Linked DNA regions of Arabidopsis thaliana. The protein of the gene in region 2 interacts with the protein of the main gene of each other region in a pairwise test. Each region holds a gene or a part of one and is shown on either strand. Other genes may lie near its edges. The genes, in order: AMT1;2, AT4G23740 and TET11.

Region 1 (6,389 bases), on a different chromosome or scaffold from region 2:
CAAAAAACAACTGTTTATCCAAATACAACATCAAGATGCAAAAAAAAAAAACTATTTTGGTAGATGTTGAATCTTGATATAGAGTCTCAATGTGTGGATGTAACATGTTACTTTTAAGTTTTGTTTTATCTACGATGTCTTACACAAAACTTTCAATCCAAAAACTATTTCAATTAACTTCTATATCTTATATATAATTTTCTCTCTCTGTTTATTGCTTAAGGAAGATTTTCTAATGCTAACTATGAACTCAATAGAATCTGATGAGTTTGGAATTTGAATTTTTCAGGGGAGAGGATTGTTTTTCAGGATGATAAGGATTGGGTTCGAAGAGATGTATGTGGGATCCCCAGGATCGATGTGGGACAAGTATGGGAAGCAACATTACTTCGTGTGCACAGGTCCAACGTCAATGCTCGTTCCTGTCGATGTAGCCTCCGGAGAGACATGGAGAGGAGCAATGGTAATCGAGCATGATAATTTGTAAATTTCATTTACTATAGTTCTGTCTTCTTCATTTTTTCCCTCTCTATTTTTGTTGCCATTTTTTCTTCTATATATTCAAAACATGTTAATGACTATACTAAATCAATATACAATAATGAACTTAGTAAATCAAAGTTGATGTAAAACAAAATTGTCTCAGAAAATATATGAGTTGCGGATTTTTATTTTATTGATTTGTAACGCAACTTTTAATTAAGTAAGTACAAAAAGATTTGTGATATTGCACATACTAAATAAACTTATAAGACATTGATATGTCACAGTATTTACCTTTCTCACTCTAATTTTAATGTTTTCTGTGTTTTATCGAAATTTTTATTTTTAAGTAGTATAACGGTTCTAGAAAATGAGTTTTTTGAGGAAAACTGAAAAACATATTACAGCAAAATAATATTGTTGATTGAAAGTCCCTTCTAGAATAGATCGACAACCCCTTTAAAGGCAATATGAGGCAACACTGCCGTTGAAAAAATTGATCGACAACCTTATATGCAATATTCGACACCTTTGTATAATATTCAGTGTAATTTGGTATGAACAGTTCGTATCCAACCGCATATTATTATTTATATAAATAATATTCTCCAATTTTGATTTATACAAGCTAATCTAACAAAGTTGTCGGGAAAATAAATTAGTTAGAATCGTAATTAGCAACAAAATACACAAATAATGTCAAATAAAATTCTAAATAAAACAAACATCTAGGTGGGAGCTACTCAGATTTGTATGTAGTATATAAGATCAACTTTTAGTGGTGAATAAATGGGTGATGATAAAAAGAGAGGACGAGAAGACAAATGATAAAATTGAACGGTAATTTATGGCAAATGGGAAAAAGGATAAAGTACATACGAGGCTCCGGACCATCCGTTTTCTAAAGTAGTAATATACTAATATAAATATATTTATATTTTCATATTTAAAATATTAGTTATTCAGAAAATTTGACGACCAATCAACAGAAAAGAATCATTGAACCAATGGATACCATGGAACTAGCTAGAAGCCTAGAACCATAGGTTATGATATCAAATCCCGAATCATGGTTACGTATTATGTGGTTTGAACAACAACAAAAAAAAAGGTTACATAGTTTTGTGGTGATAACATAACCGATAAGTACCCAAGACAACTTTCTTATGATCAGTATGTGATAATTTGATAAGCTCGTCCACAAAAAAAAAACTCGTTTATAATAAAACTCGACAATTCTGATTAATTTCCGTTGGTGATTATTGATTAACATTCTAACGTTCATTTTATCAAAACAAAACATGCTATCGTACAAGATTTTTTTTTCCTCTCTTTTCTTAACATTTAAAATGTCTCAAGACCGCTCAAATTCCAATGTTTAATTTTGATACCAAACGTTCACTTTAATTAAAAAGACATACTGATCATGTTATTGTTAACAGTTCCACACTATCTGTCCACAACAGAGCGATAACCAAGAGAAAAAAAAAGAAGAAGAAGAAGACCAATAATACACAAAGATGCGTCCAACATGTTTGGTGCCCGAACTCTTGTCTTCACCACATTAAAACTGACTCGTTTGGGACCACTCAATTCTCCAATCAAAGTATCAAACAGTCAAGGTCGGTGTAGGAGTCGAGCTCCGGCTTGTAGGCTCCACTCTTCCAGCGAAATGACCCCATGGTTTAGTCGACACGTCGTCTTCGTCATTGTATGCGTAAGCAAATCCTCCATGACGTGTCATGTCCATTCCTGCCATCTCATCTTCTGCTGATATCCTCAAAAGATTCATCTTATGTAACCCATAAAACAACGGTCCCATAGTTACCGTCACCCACCCAACGATCACAATAATCTGAACGATCTGCGCGGCGAGCAGTTTTCCTCCCCCGCCCATGAACAGTCCGTAAGGCCTATCACCGGAGTAAATCTCGTTAACGTATTCTTTCCTTGCGAACAGCCCGGTAAAGATTAATCCCCATGCTCCACATCCACCGTGGAGCTGAGCAGCCTCGAGTGGGTCATCATATTTAAGTTTCTTGGCAAGCAAGTTAAATCCGATTAAAACCCATGATGCCACAAAGCCACATACTATAGCAGCCCACGGCTCCACCACGGCACATCCGGAGGTTATAGCTGCAAAGCCGCCTAGAAGTCCGTTGCATACGTCAATAACGTTCCAATGACCTGCTAAAAGCCGTTTACTGAATAGAGTAGTCAACGCAGCGGTGCAGCCAGAAAGCGTTGTGGTGACCGCGGTGCGACCTACAGCGCTCCATTGACCATAATATGGCCGAGACTTGTCGTAGCCTTTAAGAATGGTTAAAAAGGAACCAGGGTTAAACCCATACCATCCAAACCACAACAAGAAGGTACCAAGCACGACAAGGGATGCACTGTGACCACGTAAAGCCACGGACCGGCCTGACCGGTCAAATCTACCTATTCTTGGTCCTTCAACTAACGCTCCACATAAACCGGCAATTCCACCTACCATGTGAACAACTCCTGAACCTGCGAAATCAATAGCACCTGAGCCAAACAAGAGATTGTTGTCAGACCGGGACGCGCTAGCCCATCCATCACTTGACCAGAACCAGTGCGAGACTGTCGGGTAAACAAAACCGGTCAAGAAAGTAGAGTAGATAAGGTAAGCAACGAATTGCGTTCGCTCGGCGATGGAACCGCTAGTGATTCCGGCCGCGGCTATGGCAAAAGCCCATTGGTAGAGGAAAAAGCTGAAGTCGGAGCCGGGGCGTTCAGGGTAAGAGCTTAAAGCGAAGAAGCTATGGTGGCGACCGATGAATCCGTTGGAAGGTGTACCAAAGGCGAATGCGAATCCGAAGAGGTAGTAAGAGATGGCTCCAGCGGCAGCATCAAGGACATTGGTAAGCATGATGTTCATAGTGTTCTTGGCTCGGACTGATCCAGCACAAAGCATAGCGAAACCGAGCTGCATGGCAAAGACAAGGTAGGCGGAGAAGAGGAGATACGTGTTGTCGACGGCATAAGTTGTGTCGGAGAGTTTGTTGGAGATGTTTGAAATTTGGGAACATAAAAAGGTTGCCGCGGCGAGGGAAGATGTTGAGTTAGAAGAAGAGGATAGGAGGGCAGATAGATCTACGGCAGAGCATGTGGTGGTTGCGGTGTCCATGGTGGAGAGGGAGGGAGGGAGAGATAGAGAGAGGGTACTTGATTGTGGAACGTGTTTGCTTAAGTGAGTACTTGTGGTGAGAGTGTCTTTGGTGTATTTAAAGTGGAAAAAAGCATATTTATTTCGTTACATCACAAAAAGTTGCGGTACTACTTACTCTTCTTCTAGTTGAGGTTTTAAAAGAAGTTTTCTGAATTTTAAAATTCTAGGTCTCTGGTTTAAGTTTTTTTAAACAGTAGTAATCAAACTAAAATAAAATTAATAAATTTGTTTTGGTATAGTTTTGTTTTAGTTTCTATTCAGTTTTGAACATATTTAAAGTTAATTTTTTAAAGAAGATTTTTTTATTTTAATAAGATATTTAATCAGTTTTTGTGTGCAATTAATTTTGGTTATACGAATAAAAAAAGAAAAAAGAAAATTCTTATAATATTTCGTTTAGTGTTTGAATCGTTTATTTTAGTATGACAAGGAATCGGGTCAGCATTTGTTTATGAGAAACAATTAATTAAACATCGCTACATAGAAGTACGACATTAAAGAACAAGTTCAAGCATATGACGATATGATTCTTTTAAATGAATTTGTATGTCTATTTTTCCAACTCAATATTTTATATGAACTAGTTAATGTTCTTACAAAGGAGAAATAATTTATTTTTTTTGACGGCACGATTCAAAGGAGAAATAATTTGATTTCTTTTTTGGAATTAAAATAATTTGAAAAATGTAATTTTTCGTTTCGTTTGTATCGATGAAGTCAATAGTTGATAGATCATGAATGATGTATCATTTATATGAATGTGATATAGGGGGCAAGGACGATCACTCAAATAGTTATAAAATTATCACGCTAGATTAAATATAAAAATTATTTTCAACTTGACTACAACTACTTCACAACTGAATACGTAATTCGACTTGAATAATAGGCATTATTTGATGCTGTGTGATTTTTAGCGCCATTTATTTTTGTATTTTTAGTTAATCAAACAAATATGTTGTAATTTGAGGTACCGATTTCACATAGAATTTATATTGCACTACGTATTAGAGAATAAACTGTTAAAGCTACAAACTATATATAGGGTTCAATTTTGTGATTACAGGAAAAATATATATGCAACAAAGGAAAGATGAACAGATTCAATAGTAAAATCGTATTAGGTTTTCACGGAATCACAGTGATAGTAGGAAATCACGCAACAAAGAAAAAAACAAAATGAATGGACATATGAACAGTGAAAATGTTTTTATATTACGTTAAATGTTTTTAAAATGCGATTTATGAAAAAATGGGTAAAAATAAATGCGATTTATGAAAAAATGGGTAAAATTAGAGTGTTATCAGCAAGATCCGATCCAAAACCAATTGTTACTATGCAGGATAATGCGAGATGGGCATTCGAGTCAGGTTCTGATAAAATCCGATCGGGTACAGGTTTTTTTGGATAGAGAAGTTTAGGATCCAATAGAGTAATTCTAAAATATCGGTTTGATTTTGGTTCGGGTCCAATCGGGTTCGAATATAGATTTTCAGGCCTTTTTTGGAATCGATACCCAAATTTTCGAATAAATACCCGGATTTTCGGATTCGGGTCGAATTCGAATTCGGTTTTTTGGTAGAGAAATTTAAGACAAATAAGATAAATCTTCGAATTCGGATCTAATTTTTCGGGTCGGTTCCAGTTTGAGTAATCGGTTCCGGTTTTTTGCCGCCACTAAATTTGCTAGAGTCAAAATATGGTAAAAACTGCCGCAAAAGTGAACCGCTAACCACGTGATTAAATACACTTTTCTGGTAAACAATATAACTTTGACGGTCATTCAAATGCTGAAGGACGTGTTGCTCACTAGCATAGTTTATGTCATTCTACACAAGAAGATCTAGTCCTCGTAGCTTCCAAAAATTTTCTTTTCTACTCCTGGAAGATAATCGTTTCTTTTCATCCTTCAAACTTACCAAACGTTTATACGATTAACATAGGGTTTTGTCTCCAGCGATTATTTGATTTATGTGTGCTTTTGACTCTTGAAAACTTCTTCACGTTCTCTGGCATTACGTATGAAGACATAATAAAAAAAAACTCTATTGCATTTCTCCATTACTTTTTTTCATCTCAACTTAGATAGTTTTTCAATTAAATTTATCTGATTATATTGGTTTATCAACCTTTTTAATCCTACGATTGGTGGGGATTATAATATAGTAATAAACAGAAAAGATAAATCCTTAACGAAGATAAACCCACAGAAGGCAATGACAGACGAAGCCACAATGTCGCACTAAACGAATTTTAGTAACAAATCATATTCATAATACAATAACGTAATTAGAAGATTTAGTAGTATAATCTAGTCTGTTATAGACTGAAAGCAAAAACTAAAGACGCATAAAATTTAACCCATTTGAGACATTACCATTTAACAAAATCGAAGTACCCGTATCAAATAAAAAAAATGAGATGAGTGCTTCTCAACAAAGAACACAGAAGGATCTGATAATCCAAAGTCAGGTATATCTATATATTGTATATTGACCTCTGTGTATCTATATTCTCATGCGAAAGAAAAATGATACAATTTCATCCGCGACTCAAGGGATTATGCTTAATGAGCCTCTCCTACAAAATGGATTCAACAGAGATGGCGAAAACATGTTTCCTCCTACCCACTTACATTATCATCATCGCTTTCACTGTCATCGCTGCAAATGTAACAAATTGTACTTAACTTTCAGACCAAGGGAACTA
Region 2 (7,383 bases):
TGTTTATTTTTCTTGTCAAAAATAAAAAAGATTATTGTTTTCTTCATCATTAGCCAATACGAATTTTAACAAGTACTGCTGCAAGAGTGTGCTACTATACTATTCTCATGTTATTTTTGAAGTAATTCAAGATAATTTGGTTTTTTCATAACAAAAATAAATTCAAGAGATAATTGTTTTCTTCATCAGTAGAGACAGTATGAATTTTAACAAGTACTGCAAGAGTGTACTACTATACTATTCGAACTGCTCTACTCGTTAGAAAGTTATGATTCAACTTTAATTCTCTAACAATATAAAGGATAACATTTTGAAAAAGAAAAAACAATGGTTTATAAACCTATGTAAAATGAACAATTTTTATTTTATTTTTTATCTCATGTTTGATTTAATCACGAGGAAAATAATGTTATTTACAATATAAACTTCTACTGTAGTAGTTTTCACGTATGCCAAAAAGGTATCATTGGTAAAAGTTGTATATCGTAGTCAATTATTAAATTTTCAACAAGAAGATAGATTGGTTGATGAGATTATACTAAATGGTTTTAACTAAGCCGTCGGTTTAACAGCGGAGAAGTAAAACAAATAACATGTTGATCCACCGATTTCGTGGGGACCTAAGGATTTACATAAAATTGACACATTTTTGAGATTCAGATTTTCTTGTATATATATATTTAGGTTTCTAATTTCGCAACTTGGAAAGAAGAAGAGAAGCCTTATTGCAGTATATGAGCAGCAAGGACACGTCATTTTCTGGAATTAGACAAATCAAGTTCACGTTGTAACTTGCCTTATTTGTCTCCTTCCTATTGTAATCCCTGCCACCTACCTGTTCCTCCTCCAAGGCTCCAAAACACAATTCACGACAAAACATTTTGTATGAACTCTTTTCTTTTGACTCAGAAAATGTTAGTATTTCAGTAAAATAGATAATATGAAAAACATAAATTATTAGTCCAAACTCCATTCAAATATGATCCTGAGGATACCATGTGGGTCTTAGGCTGGCTTGTGGTGCTTCTTAGAAGTTAGAACCCTCCAAATATCGCATTACTTGAGACCACTAGTTCCATTTTGTCGGTTCGATCACAGGCCGGGCTCTAGCCGAAGAAGATTATGGGTCAAACAAGTACTAGAAATAAAACTTTGTCGACTCTGTATAATTATATCGGCCCAATGGGCTTTTTGGGCTCTGAAGCAGTTGGTTTCCCTGGTTTAGAGGCTTTGATGAAACAAACTTGTGAATCAGAAATTTGAATCTATTTCATAGCGAATTTTGAAAACCAAGAATTCCTAAACAGAAATGTGTTTGTTGAACCGGTTCTAAACCGAAGAGAGAAGAAATAAACACAGGAGTATACAAACTTCATATGTAAAATATGGGATGATGAATCAACAGTTAGAATTTTGATAGATTCAAATTTCACTCGGTGTTGAAGTCTCTGAGGCTCCATTTTCGGATTTGGGTTTGAGTTCGGGTTCCGGTTCAATGCTGGTTCGTCGGTTTCCAACGTTCTCGATGAGCCTAACCAAATCAGACATCTTTGGCCTCTGATCTGCTGCTTTCACAACACAGGACATTGCAATCTGCAACATCTCAACCATCTCTTCCTCTATGTTTGTATACCTCAGAAGCTCGATGTCGAATACTTCTGCGGTCCATTCCTCTCTCACTACTGAATGTACCCATCTAACCAAGTGGATGATCTCGTCCCCTGCAATGTCCATCACAGAATGATCATTAAACCGAAAATATATCAGCTGAAACAGTCTAGTCACTTCGGGTTGTAGCGTTACCTGCGGTAGTGTGAATGGGCGATTTTCCCGTGAGTAGTTCGAGTAGAACAACACCGAAGCTGTAAACATCTGACAATTGAGAAGACTTCCTTGTGTCGGTTACTTCTGGTGCACGGTAACCAGCTTGCCTCGATATCGGTGGAGCCAAGGGACTCATTACAGCAGTTAATCCAAGATCAGAGACACAGCCATTACTCTCGGAATTCAAGAATATATTCGAAGATTTGATGTTCCCATGGACGAGTTTTCCATTGTTTTCTTTGTGGATACGAGCAATCCCTTTAGCTGCGCCAATAGCTATTTTCATTCTTGTTTCCCAGTCTAGAGGAATCCTGTTTTCTCCTCTGTTACCTGAAAACCAAAACATTTCAACTCTACAATGAGCCTAAAGCAAATGGGTTTGATTCTGATAGTAGTTATGATGCATTAGATCAAAAAGTGAAACGTACCATGAAGCAAAGAAGCCACACTTCCTCGGCTGAAATAGTCATAAACCATTAGCTTCTCGTCTTTAGAGTAATAGTATGCCTTAAGCTCCACAACGTTTTCATGCTTAATACCTCCAATGATCTCCATCTGCTGCTCGAAATCACGTTTCCCAGCCGCAACATCCTTAAGACGTTTCACAGCAACAGAAGTTGCATCTTCAAGAACTGCTTTGTACGTCGTGCCAAACGTGCCTTTACCAAGAACCTCAGCAGAAGCTCTCAATAGATCCTCAAGATCAAAAGAGTAGTTACATCCTTCAAAGAACGATAACCGGTTGTTCACATCTTCCATCCGAGAAACAAATTTCTCAGGAGACATCCCACCTTTCTTCTGCAACTTATTATCCGAAATGACCCCATCACCGCGTCTTAACTTCCTTCTTACGTAACAAACAGTCAACACAAACGCCAAAGCCGTAATCACCACAATGGAAACAGCAATAACAATCAACAAGAACACCGTCTCGGATAGTCCCAAGAAGCGAGCTTTCGACGGTTTCTGATGAGTCTGCTCGCTAGGTGGTGGCGGCGTAACGAGGGTGTAGTTACCACCAGGAGGAATAATATCAATGCCTGTATAAGACGAGAACGGGAACCTTCGAAGCCAATCTGGTATCGGTCCAGCAAGATCATAATTGTTGGACAAGTCAATGTGCTGCAGACTAGAGAGCACACTCAGATCAGGAATATCACCAGAAAGCGTATTGTTAGCAAGATTTAACGACTGAATCCGCTTAAGACGAGACAACGAACTCGGGATTGTCCCGTTGAACCCGTTGTTTGAGAGATTAACACTAGTGAGATTCTTCCAAACAGAGAAATCCAATGGCAAAGGACCAGACAAGTTGTTATCCTGAAGATAAAGAAAGGCCAAATCTTTCAACTCAACAAAATCCTTAGGAAACTCGCCGGAGATTAGATTGGATCTGAGACTAAGAACTCTGAGAGCTGAGAGTCTGCTTATAGTGTTTGGAGGAATCTGACCATTGAGTCCAACGCCTGGTAATCTAACGGCTATGATTCGAGATCCGTCTTGATTACAAGTAACTCCGGTCCAGATGTTGCAGACTTGAGAAGTCTCGTTCCAGTTGAGTGAACGAGTTGGTTGCATAATGGTAAGAAACTCAAGCAATGCGCGTTTGTCTTCTAATGGATCTGAGTTTGCTCCATAGATAATCAAACACAGAGAGAGACAGAGACTCCATAGATAAATCCTCAAAGCTTCCATTTTTTTGAAAGTGAAAAAAACGAGCTGTTTCTTTTTGTAATCTGGAGCTGGAGAAAAACAACAATCAAAAACCAATTTAGCTCAATTTGATTGTGGTGATGATGATGATGGACATATAAATGGTGAAAATTTGTGAACTTTAATTTAAAATAAAAGGTACCAAAAAAGCGAAAAGATTACAGATTTCTAGAAGACTGCTGATTATAAAAGCAAAAGTGGAATCTTGAAGTTGTTCTATGTGACCACTGGAGATTTTAAAATACAACAGGAGTGGGAGACATAAAAAGTGAGTAACTTTAAGCTTCGAAAATGACGAAGCTTTAATTTAAACTCACATAAACCCTAGAATTTCTGGTAATTAAAATTGTCGAAAAGTAGAACCCTAACTCTACTACGAGATTAAATTTATTAAAAATAAAGAATTGGTAACCTCGCTTTTTTCCAGATCTGAACTTTATTGTCGGCTTAGTTTCTTCTCGAGAATCGAATCAGCTCTGGAGTTTTTTAAGAACACAACTCGAAATTAAGAGGAAGAGAGAACAACTTCTTCAATTACGCAGTGAAGATAATGTGAAGAACCGCCATTGAAGCACTTGTGAAGTTAAGAAGAGCTTGTGATTTTCAAGCAACGGATATAATTTTGTTCTTATTTTTTGGCATATTAAAGTGGGTGAAAGTGACGAGGGAAGATACTGATGCGACTCTATTGTTTCTTTATACGGTTTACAGGTTGGTGACCGGTGAGTCTGTACGTACCCGGTTATTTAATACCGAACCGGGGACCATTGAACTTTTTAATGCCAAATTAAGGCTGTATCTTTCAATTTGTAATCGATCTTCGTTTTACAAAGTTCGATTCGTTCTGAAGTAATGTAAATTAATCGGAACATTAGCTATTTGTTAAACCGGTTAAGTTTTCTGAACCGAGATATACATAACCGGTTGTTTAATTGGTCAACGCTAACAAAAAGAACGATATAGTAATTAATTATGTTAAGAAGGAAATTATTTAACTTACCAAATGTATTAGGCAAATACGTTTTTTTTTGTTTTGTAGTACTTGTCATAATGAAGCTCAAGGCATTTAAAGCATATCGACTTCTACCATTTTAATAAAATTCTTGGTTTCTTTTTGGCATCAATAAATATTCTCTTTTTATAATATTACTATTTCTTCGGTGTATTAAATATTTGACCGACGCAATTATAGAATTTATAGTGCATCATAATAGACCAATAATTTTCAAATCTTTCATGATTATTATGATGATTTTACACCATCTTACCACATTGAGAGGCAATGAGTATAAGGCCATTAAAGCATTTGAATCTATAAAGATTATTTTATACTATAGTTTTGTTCCTATACTTGAAATATGTACCCAAAAAAATTAGCTTATGGTCTCAGAAATGGTTTATTCAAGAATTGTCAACCATGAGAACAAGAAAGCTTTAAATCTACATATACATTTTTGCAGCCATTTTGTGAAATAAATTTTGTAGTTGAGATTTATTTACAATAGCTGCCACTGGATTTTAATGTTTGTTTTGATAATTAAAAATAAAATTTTTGAATTAAATATTTGAAAATCTTCCCGAAATCTCTCTACATTAACTACACGATTAGTTACTAAAATAAAACTTCCAATATATTTAATATCATTGAATTACTACAAAATTATTATTTTTGATATTGTTTTTCTACATGACTATAACAATTCGATTATAATCATCAAACCGCACAAATATTTGATAGCATTTAATTACTACAAAATTACAAAATATTTAAACAATGATTCATAAACATATCATAAATGAGATCAATGAGTTTTTTTTACGGGACAGGTTGGCGGGACGGATTTGATAGGACGTTACTTAATAACAATTGTAAACTATAAAATAAAAATATTTTATAGATAGATATAATTTGTAAACTTTTATATATACTAACTTAAAAAAATAAATTGTCCCCGCGATATACCGCGGGTTAAAATCTAGTATTATTGAAGATTTCATCAAATAAGTACAAACTTCAATATAGTATATAACATTGTCTTCATACACAAGTTAAATCTCGCACAAAACCAGGAGATCTAGTCACTTCCTAAAAATGGGTGACCTTTTCAAATCTCAGGTTTCCTTTTAATATTTCGGATTTTTGATACCGACGAATCACACACACTGTGATGTTCTATAGACTAAAACAAAAAAAATAGCCCACAAGACAAGATAATGAAAGACACAGAGTTTGTGATAACCGGTACCGGGTTTTAGGTGGAAAGAACAAGCGAGAGATGTAATTTCCCGGTCCATTCTTCACCCGGTTTCAAGGTGATGGGTTTCTCAATGGCTGCTCCATCCACACACAACATGTGTCTATACTCATCATCTCCCAAATCCGTCAATGCTCTCGCTTTCTTCTCCCATGGATTCCATACCACTGCAACAAACCGAGAATCTAATACTGTTAAAAACTGGATTCTTGGTAAAAAGGGCGGTTAAGGTTTTCGGTATTTGGATCTTACCGACATCAGGTAGACCTTCTTTCTTGATGAGGAATGTGCGTTTTCTCTCATGGTCGAAAATGGCAACCACGTCTTTAGAATTTAGGTACACTCTATCGATCTCTGATTCAAAGGTTAATGCATCGCCTTGCTCTGTGAACCGCTCTCTATCATGCATATTATCAAGATAGTCAAGAGTTTCCAGCCCTTCAAGTCTAACTTCACTGATAAATACCAAAAGAAAAGAGAATGTATTGAGTTCTACGTTATATTATGTGACAGCAGAGACTAGTAGAGGCTAAATTCGGTGTTTCACCTAATATCGGAAATGGAGAAGTAAGTGTGGTAAGCAATGGAAAAGCTAAAAGGCTTTGAATTGATGTTTCTGACTCGTGATATCAGTGTTAGGTTCCCATCTAATGCCAATGAGACTCTCAGATGAAACTCAAAGCTGAAACAAGAGCAATAGCAATTTAATCATGCTGAAATGAAAAGAATCAGATCATATCGAGGAATCAAAATAAAATCATTTGATCGGGTTTGCAACCTACCTGTAAGGCCAGATCCTCATCGTATCTTCATCAGATGACTTAAGCACCAAATCAACATAGGCTTTTCCAGTTGAGTCAAATGAAGGTAAAGCAGGTGGATTGTTTTCTACAAGCCACATCTTGTTTCTTGCAAACCCGTGTTGCTCAAGTGATCCCCGAGTTCCAAACTTATGAATAAAAAAAATATAAAGAAATGTGATCAAAACCAAGATTATTCATGTCCAATATTACATGTTACTTTTCAAAAGTCTATATACCTGAGGAAAGCATATAGGGATTCCTCCTCGTACCGGATGGGGAGGCTTCAAGTTGGCCTGAAACAAGAGCATGTAGTTCAGTAAATATGATACAAAGTTGCGTAGAATGTTGAAAAAGGCGAGTTCTTTACCTTGGTGCTGTTGAATAACAATTCATCACCCTTGTCAGTCTTCCATGAAAGAACTTGTCCTCCATGTAAACTAATCTGAATCATAAACAAACCGTCAGTTCAATAAGCGAAATGGAAATGCTTATGAATGTGGTCCATGAATCATAAAAGCCAAAGTTTCCATGGCCAACAACATCAAAACTATATCTAAAGCTATCAGATTTGTCTTGTTAAGAGAGTTTAAAGCCACAACTACGAACTAGGCCTTCAACTTTCAAGAATCAGAACCCAAATAACCAGTAGAAACAGAGCAATCAAACACGCTTATAAACACTCTGATACTAAGAACCAAATACACAATTTTCCCCCAAAATAAGACCTTTTGGACCAATTTAAATGTATCAAGAGTTTGGAAGAGGCATAACATCGAACAGTTAGTGGG
Region 3 (5,465 bases), on a different chromosome or scaffold from region 2:
AGGTTGCTGAGAAGAAGAAGAAGAAAACAGAAGGCGAATTCTTCGAAGCTGAGAAAGAGGTATACAATCATCTTATGGATATTTGGTTTTATCCAAAAATGGTTATTATGTGTTTTCTTGTCTTTGTACCATTACCTAATTGAAAACTTTGGGTTGAACAGGAGAAGAAGGAGATCCCACAGGAGAAGAAGGAAGACCAGAAAACCGTTGATGCTGCTCTGATCAAATCCATTGAAGCTGTCCCAGAGCTCAAGGTTTACCTTGGAGCCAGGTTCTCATTGAGTCAAGGAATGAAACCACATGAGCTTGTTTTCTAGATTTCGTATTGTTTCTCAAATTTTAAGAATATCTGTTTCCCTGAGTATTTTCATCTTTAATCGTCCTTGGATCTTAAAGACTATTTTCTCTGATTTTATATATCAAATTTTCGAGCAATCTAGCTTTAAGACCTGGTGTTATGAATTCGATTTTCTATAAAAATGAATAAATGAAAAAGCATAAGAAATGATCACGAATTAATTTTTAATCCAAAGTAATCAACAGCAGATTTTGCCATAATTGAAGCAAACTCTCCAAAGCTTATAACACCATCACCATTTGTATCAGCTTCTTTGATCATCTCCGTTAATTCTTTATACGTTAATGGTTGACCCATCTTGGCCATTGCTCCTGCAAGCTCAGCCGCACTTATGAACCCGTTACCGTCTCTATCGAACGATTTGAAAATCTCGAGTAATTGCTCGGAATTGATTAGGACCTCTTCGTTAAGATCAGGAAGAATTGTACCAACGAGCTCATCGAATTCGACAAAACCGTTGCCGTTTGAGTCCATGCTAGCTAACAAAACATGGATTTGATCGCCGGAAGGTTTGAGACCGAGTGACCGGAGAAGTGCCGCGAGTTCTAAGATTGTTAAGCTTCCGTCTGCGTCCATGTCGAACCGGTCGAAAATGTCTTTAAGTTGTCTTATCTGATCCTCCATTTTTTCTTTCTTTCTTTAGCAACACAAATAAAAATCGATTAATCAATGTTGGCGACGAGAGAGATTGATGAGACAAGAGGTTATGATTGTCAATGAAGGGTGTGCCAGAAAGGAGATTTAAGATTGAAGTTTTGTTTCTTTTTGAGCACGTAGAATTTAGAATTCTGGATCTTTTCTATGTTTTAATGTTTTGTTTGTTCTTTTCTTTTTCGTTGGTTTGTTAATGGTTGCTGATAAAAATAGATAAGACCACATATTTTTTTTTTGTTTGAGTTAGATTGGTACTGCTATTGAAATGTGAAAATTCATAATGATTCTTTTTGCCTTTTTGGTAAAGAAAATCATATTGATTGTGGTGAAACAAAAACATGACATTGTCCTAAGAAACATAAAGATAATTAGAATTGTGACTAAATATGTGAAGCATAAGATTTAAAATAAAATTAAATGCCAATGGTTACGACTAGTGAAATGTGATAAATTCATGATAATTGTTGAGAAACAGAACATGACATTGTCCAAAGAAAACAAAAGATAATTAACTTAAAAAACCAAACAAACTAAGAAAACAGAAAAACACAAGAAACTGAAATTGAGTTGTTGATCAGACAGAATCACTTTTCCTAGCCGTCCGATTGTTACGACGAGCACAGCAACCGCAGGAATAGACGGTTATGAGGAGAATGAGGAGACAAATGTTGAAAACAAGAAGATTCCTCCACTTCTCTCTTATGTTCGCTAACACACCCGCTTTGCATGCGTTGCAGTTGAAACATAACTCTGTTTGCACGTTGCTCCACGTACCACAGTCCCCGTTTTCCGCAACTGCCGTTTCGTTTTTGCTCGGCGGTATCCAGAACGTCGCGTTTCTGAACTCGAAGTTGCAATCCGATGGTGGCTTACAACAACCTGACTGCTCATACACAATCAATACTTGAGTTACACAACCCATTATGAACAATAAATTTAACGGCTTAACATATAAGTGTTATCTTAGTTCGGCTAAAAATTGTCTTGCTTTTGTTACTATATGCAAAAACTTAACAATGAAATTTAATCATACTAAGAACGATGAAATGAACCTAGACTATTTTTTATTGATTTGTCTTTACATATATATATACTAAAGAAAGCAAAAGCTTTGATTGGTCTTCCCTTTACTATATTTATACAAAAATATCAACAAAGAAATATGTTCATACAGAAAATCGATCCAAAACAATACCTGGATGGGAGACAAGTTCTTGTGATAAAACGCATCAGCGATCTGACTAACACGACCATCACTCAAATCATCACAAACGTTAGCCTCAGCCAAACAAGACCTTATCCCAACCCATCTCTTCCCACCAACGAACCCATTAAGCCACGTCGAGAAATCCACCGTCCGGTACTCTTTATACCCTCGACCGGACACCACACGACCGGCTCCTTTGTTGGTCACAAAGAAGAGAAATATGGAGAAAATCATCAATGCAACAATGCCCCCAAACAATATGATCAAGTAGGAAACCATTGCCAAATTCTCCTTGAAACAAGATCCAATCACTCCGAGCAAAGACACCAAGAAGAGGATGAGTCCGGTCGTGAGAAGTGGTATCCGAATGGCAGATTCACAATCAGTGACGCCTTGGTGAACGAACATGTAAATCGAATAACCAATGGCCGAAGCGCCCACTAACATCACCAATGTGTTTGCTAGACCAACCATGAAATTGCTAACTCGAAACATTTTTGGAAATTTGCTTTCTCCAAATGATAAACTCGATTAACCTGATCGGATTTTAAATAGATACGGAGAGGGAGAGAGTGTTTTTTTGTTGTTGTTTGAATTTGATAATTATGTTTCGTAACGTTTTTAGTGTGTGTGTGTGTTTTTAAGTGTGTGGAGTCGTGGTTATTGGGGAAAGAGGGAAACGGTTGCTTTTTTGGTAGTGGGTTGATGATATTAGTGGAGATTATTAGCCATTGGTTTTAGAGATCGTGTGGGGGTTAAGAAGATCCTTTAGTTTAGAGGAAGTCGTTTAATTAGATTTTGACTAGGTCTTACTGCCACGTAACTAAGACTAATAATTAAACTGTCACTCGACTTTTTAAACATTGAATTTAATAAGAATTTATTGAGTACGAGATTGTTGGGAAAATTACATATAGGTTTATGTTAATTTTATTTTTAAATAAAAATGCATATTAATTCATATTTTTGTTACTTGGAAAAGGAAAAAACAAACTAAATAAGTAAATATATGAATAATAATATGTTGTGAAAAAACGTTTTTCAAGGATAAAACTCAAATTCGTGGGGGGTTTATAATATTCGTTAAGAATTGATGGAAGAAAATCCAAAAATTTATTATTGCATGGGTAAATAACACAACCATTTTATACCCTGGTGACATCTAGGAGATTTTCTTCTTATTTTGATCTTAACTTACAAGATTGATGAAATTAGTGGAATTCCAAAACGCATCTCACGTGACAAAATAACTACTTCTGGTGATAGCTCTGGTTTAGTCAGAATAGATTATAGATACCAAACATTTGGTGTATCCGAGTATTTACTTTAAAAGACTCTTCCTCCATCGTTAAGATTAGAAAAAAGAAAGAAAAAGGTGTTAGTTAATATTGAAGAAAACTAATGAGAAACTAGAATTAAATATATATCATGTACATTTGATATGGAAAAATGAAATCAAGAATAATAGCCCCTATAATCATCAGGTTCATCGAAAGTATCCATAATGGACCTGGAAATGGCGAGGCTGAGACAAACGAGAAAGAGGGCAGGATAAGAGAACATGGAGAGATATTTCCATTGATGAACAATGGCTTTTAAGATGCTCATCTGGCAACCTCTGCAACTGAGACAGTATTCGTAAGAACATTCTTCCGGAACATGGTTCTCTACGTGTTGATGTTTCCAACTCCATTCTCCTGGTTGCCCGAACATTGTCGTCACTCCACATCCTCTTGGTTGCGCGCAGCAATACCTCTATATATATCATCATTGTTAGAGAATTGATCTTTTATTACGAATGAATCAGGATGAGGTGACATAATTAAGTACTTACCCAAACATTGCTGTTTTGGCTGGCATTGAAGTTACAGTCATGGTTATGAATGATGCACTCCGTGACTTTTGCAAGTTTACTTTCAGGGACTAGCCTGCCTACCAATTGCTTGGCGGTTCGCTTTTCCTCAGCCGGGTTCTTGGCGATTCCAAAGGTTGTGTTGTAGATGAAACACTTTAAAGAGTAGCCACCAAGGACAATGCTTACGAATATCATTGCATAGATGTAGATTGTGAACATACGTTTTGAGTGACAACAGATTGCGTAAAGAGCAAACTGAGGAATCACCAGCAAGAGCAAACCAATGACGACGAAACTGCCATCCGTTTCTCGGATACATTTCGAGACTGTTTTTCTGTAATATAAACCTGTTCCCGTCATTGTTAAGCCTATGCATATAAGGATTATGGTCGCCATTGTTAAGAACCCTGTTCGTATCTCTGACATTTTTTGCAAATCAGGAAATCTAAAATGACTCGTAGAGTATATGATGTTTTGACTTGTGTGATATATGAAGAGGTTGTAACAAAGAGACAAGGAATCAAGAACAGAGAGGTATCAGTTTTGTTTTTGAGTTTTAAGACCTTAGTTTAGTCTAAAGACAGCTTTTTGAAATAGGTTAAAACTGTTTAACGGTTGGTTTTTATTCCTTATTCTAAAACCATTATTTCTAAAAATAGAGATTCAAGTTAAATCAAGATATATATAGTACACCAAACTCTTTTGACATGCAACTTCGATAAACAACAAGCAAACTCCGAAACTCCAGTTATTACCAAACTATGTACTTGAAAATAAAAGAACCTAACTTCTGTCTGACTTTTTGGTATTTGCCGGAAAGATTTTTAATTCAGGCAGCGACTCTGTTTTTTTGGGAAGGGATTTTTGTGGCGGAGTTTTCTTTGAAGTCCATCATTTTGTTCAAAGCTCCAACATAAGCTTTGACGCTTGACACCACAATATCCATTCCTGCTCCAGTTCCACTGCCAAACACAAGACAACCGGTTTGGTGTTATAATACAAGCAAGAATCAACAAGAAACAATAAACTTCGCAGATAAATCGATCCGGTTTGAATGAGATATGGGGCAAAAGAGGATTTTACCTAAAGGTTCTTTGAACCTCTTCACCAGTTATTGCGTTTGTAGATGAGTATTTGTTGCTTCCACGGATAAGAACTCTTGTGGTTGCGATGGCATCAATGCCTTCTGTTACTGCATTCATTGAGTACTCAAGCAGAGTAGCCGGTTCCTAAAGGGGGAAAAAGGTTTTCAATAAGCGATGACCCACTGGTGAGTTATTTGTAGATGAGAGCCTCAGCGGTATAAACAGTACCTTTACGATAAGATCTACTGCCTTGTAAGCTGAATCCACAGGCCCAGTTCCAATAGAACAAGCGACATGTTCTTTGCC

Evidence for each region.
Region 1: the proteins of AT4G23740 (region 2) and AMT1;2 interact in a protein complementation assay, tested with the Arabidopsis thaliana proteins (one large-scale study listed by BioGRID).
Region 3: the proteins of AT4G23740 (region 2) and TET11 interact in a protein complementation assay, tested with the Arabidopsis thaliana proteins (one large-scale study listed by BioGRID).

The regions. Positions count from the first base shown.
Region 1 is NC_003070.9:24,058,929-24,065,317, forward strand, and holds AMT1;2 (ammonium transporter 1;2), read right to left. Parts: upstream 3,877-6,389; 5' UTR 3,638-3,876; coding exon 2,093-3,637; 3' UTR 1,712-2,092; downstream 1-1,711. Other genes in the region: PnsB2 (NDH-dependent cyclic electron flow 1), read left to right, coding at 290-477; ILA (ILITYHIA), read right to left, coding at 6,304-6,343.
Region 2 is NC_003075.7:12,363,199-12,370,581, reverse strand, and holds AT4G23740 (Leucine-rich repeat protein kinase family protein), read right to left. Parts: upstream 4,501-7,383; 5' UTR 3,950-4,500; intron 3,732-3,949; exon of another isoform or gene 3,567-3,731; 5' UTR 3,520-3,566; coding exon 2,253-3,519; intron 2,155-2,252; coding exon 1,804-2,154; intron 1,722-1,803; coding exon 1,423-1,721; 3' UTR 1,244-1,422; downstream 1-1,243. Other genes in the region: AT4G23730 (Galactose mutarotase-like superfamily protein), read right to left, coding at 5,790-5,977, 6,045-6,247, 6,340-6,474, 6,575-6,741, 6,832-6,888, 6,963-7,037.
Region 3 is NC_003070.9:6,372,300-6,377,764, reverse strand, and holds TET11 (tetraspanin11), read right to left. Parts: upstream 2,860-5,465; 5' UTR 2,715-2,859; coding exon 2,208-2,714; intron 1,896-2,207; coding exon 1,587-1,895; 3' UTR 1,432-1,586; downstream 1-1,431. Other genes in the region: AT1G18540 (Ribosomal protein L6 family protein), read left to right, coding at 1-59, 162-317; AT1G18530 (EF hand calcium-binding protein family), read right to left, coding at 509-982; TET16 (tetraspanin), read right to left, coding at 3,675-3,974, 4,054-4,500; MAML-4 (methylthioalkylmalate synthase-like 4), read right to left, coding at 4,904-5,036, 5,158-5,303, 5,388-5,465. UniProt on the Arabidopsis thaliana protein: May be involved in the regulation of cell differentiation.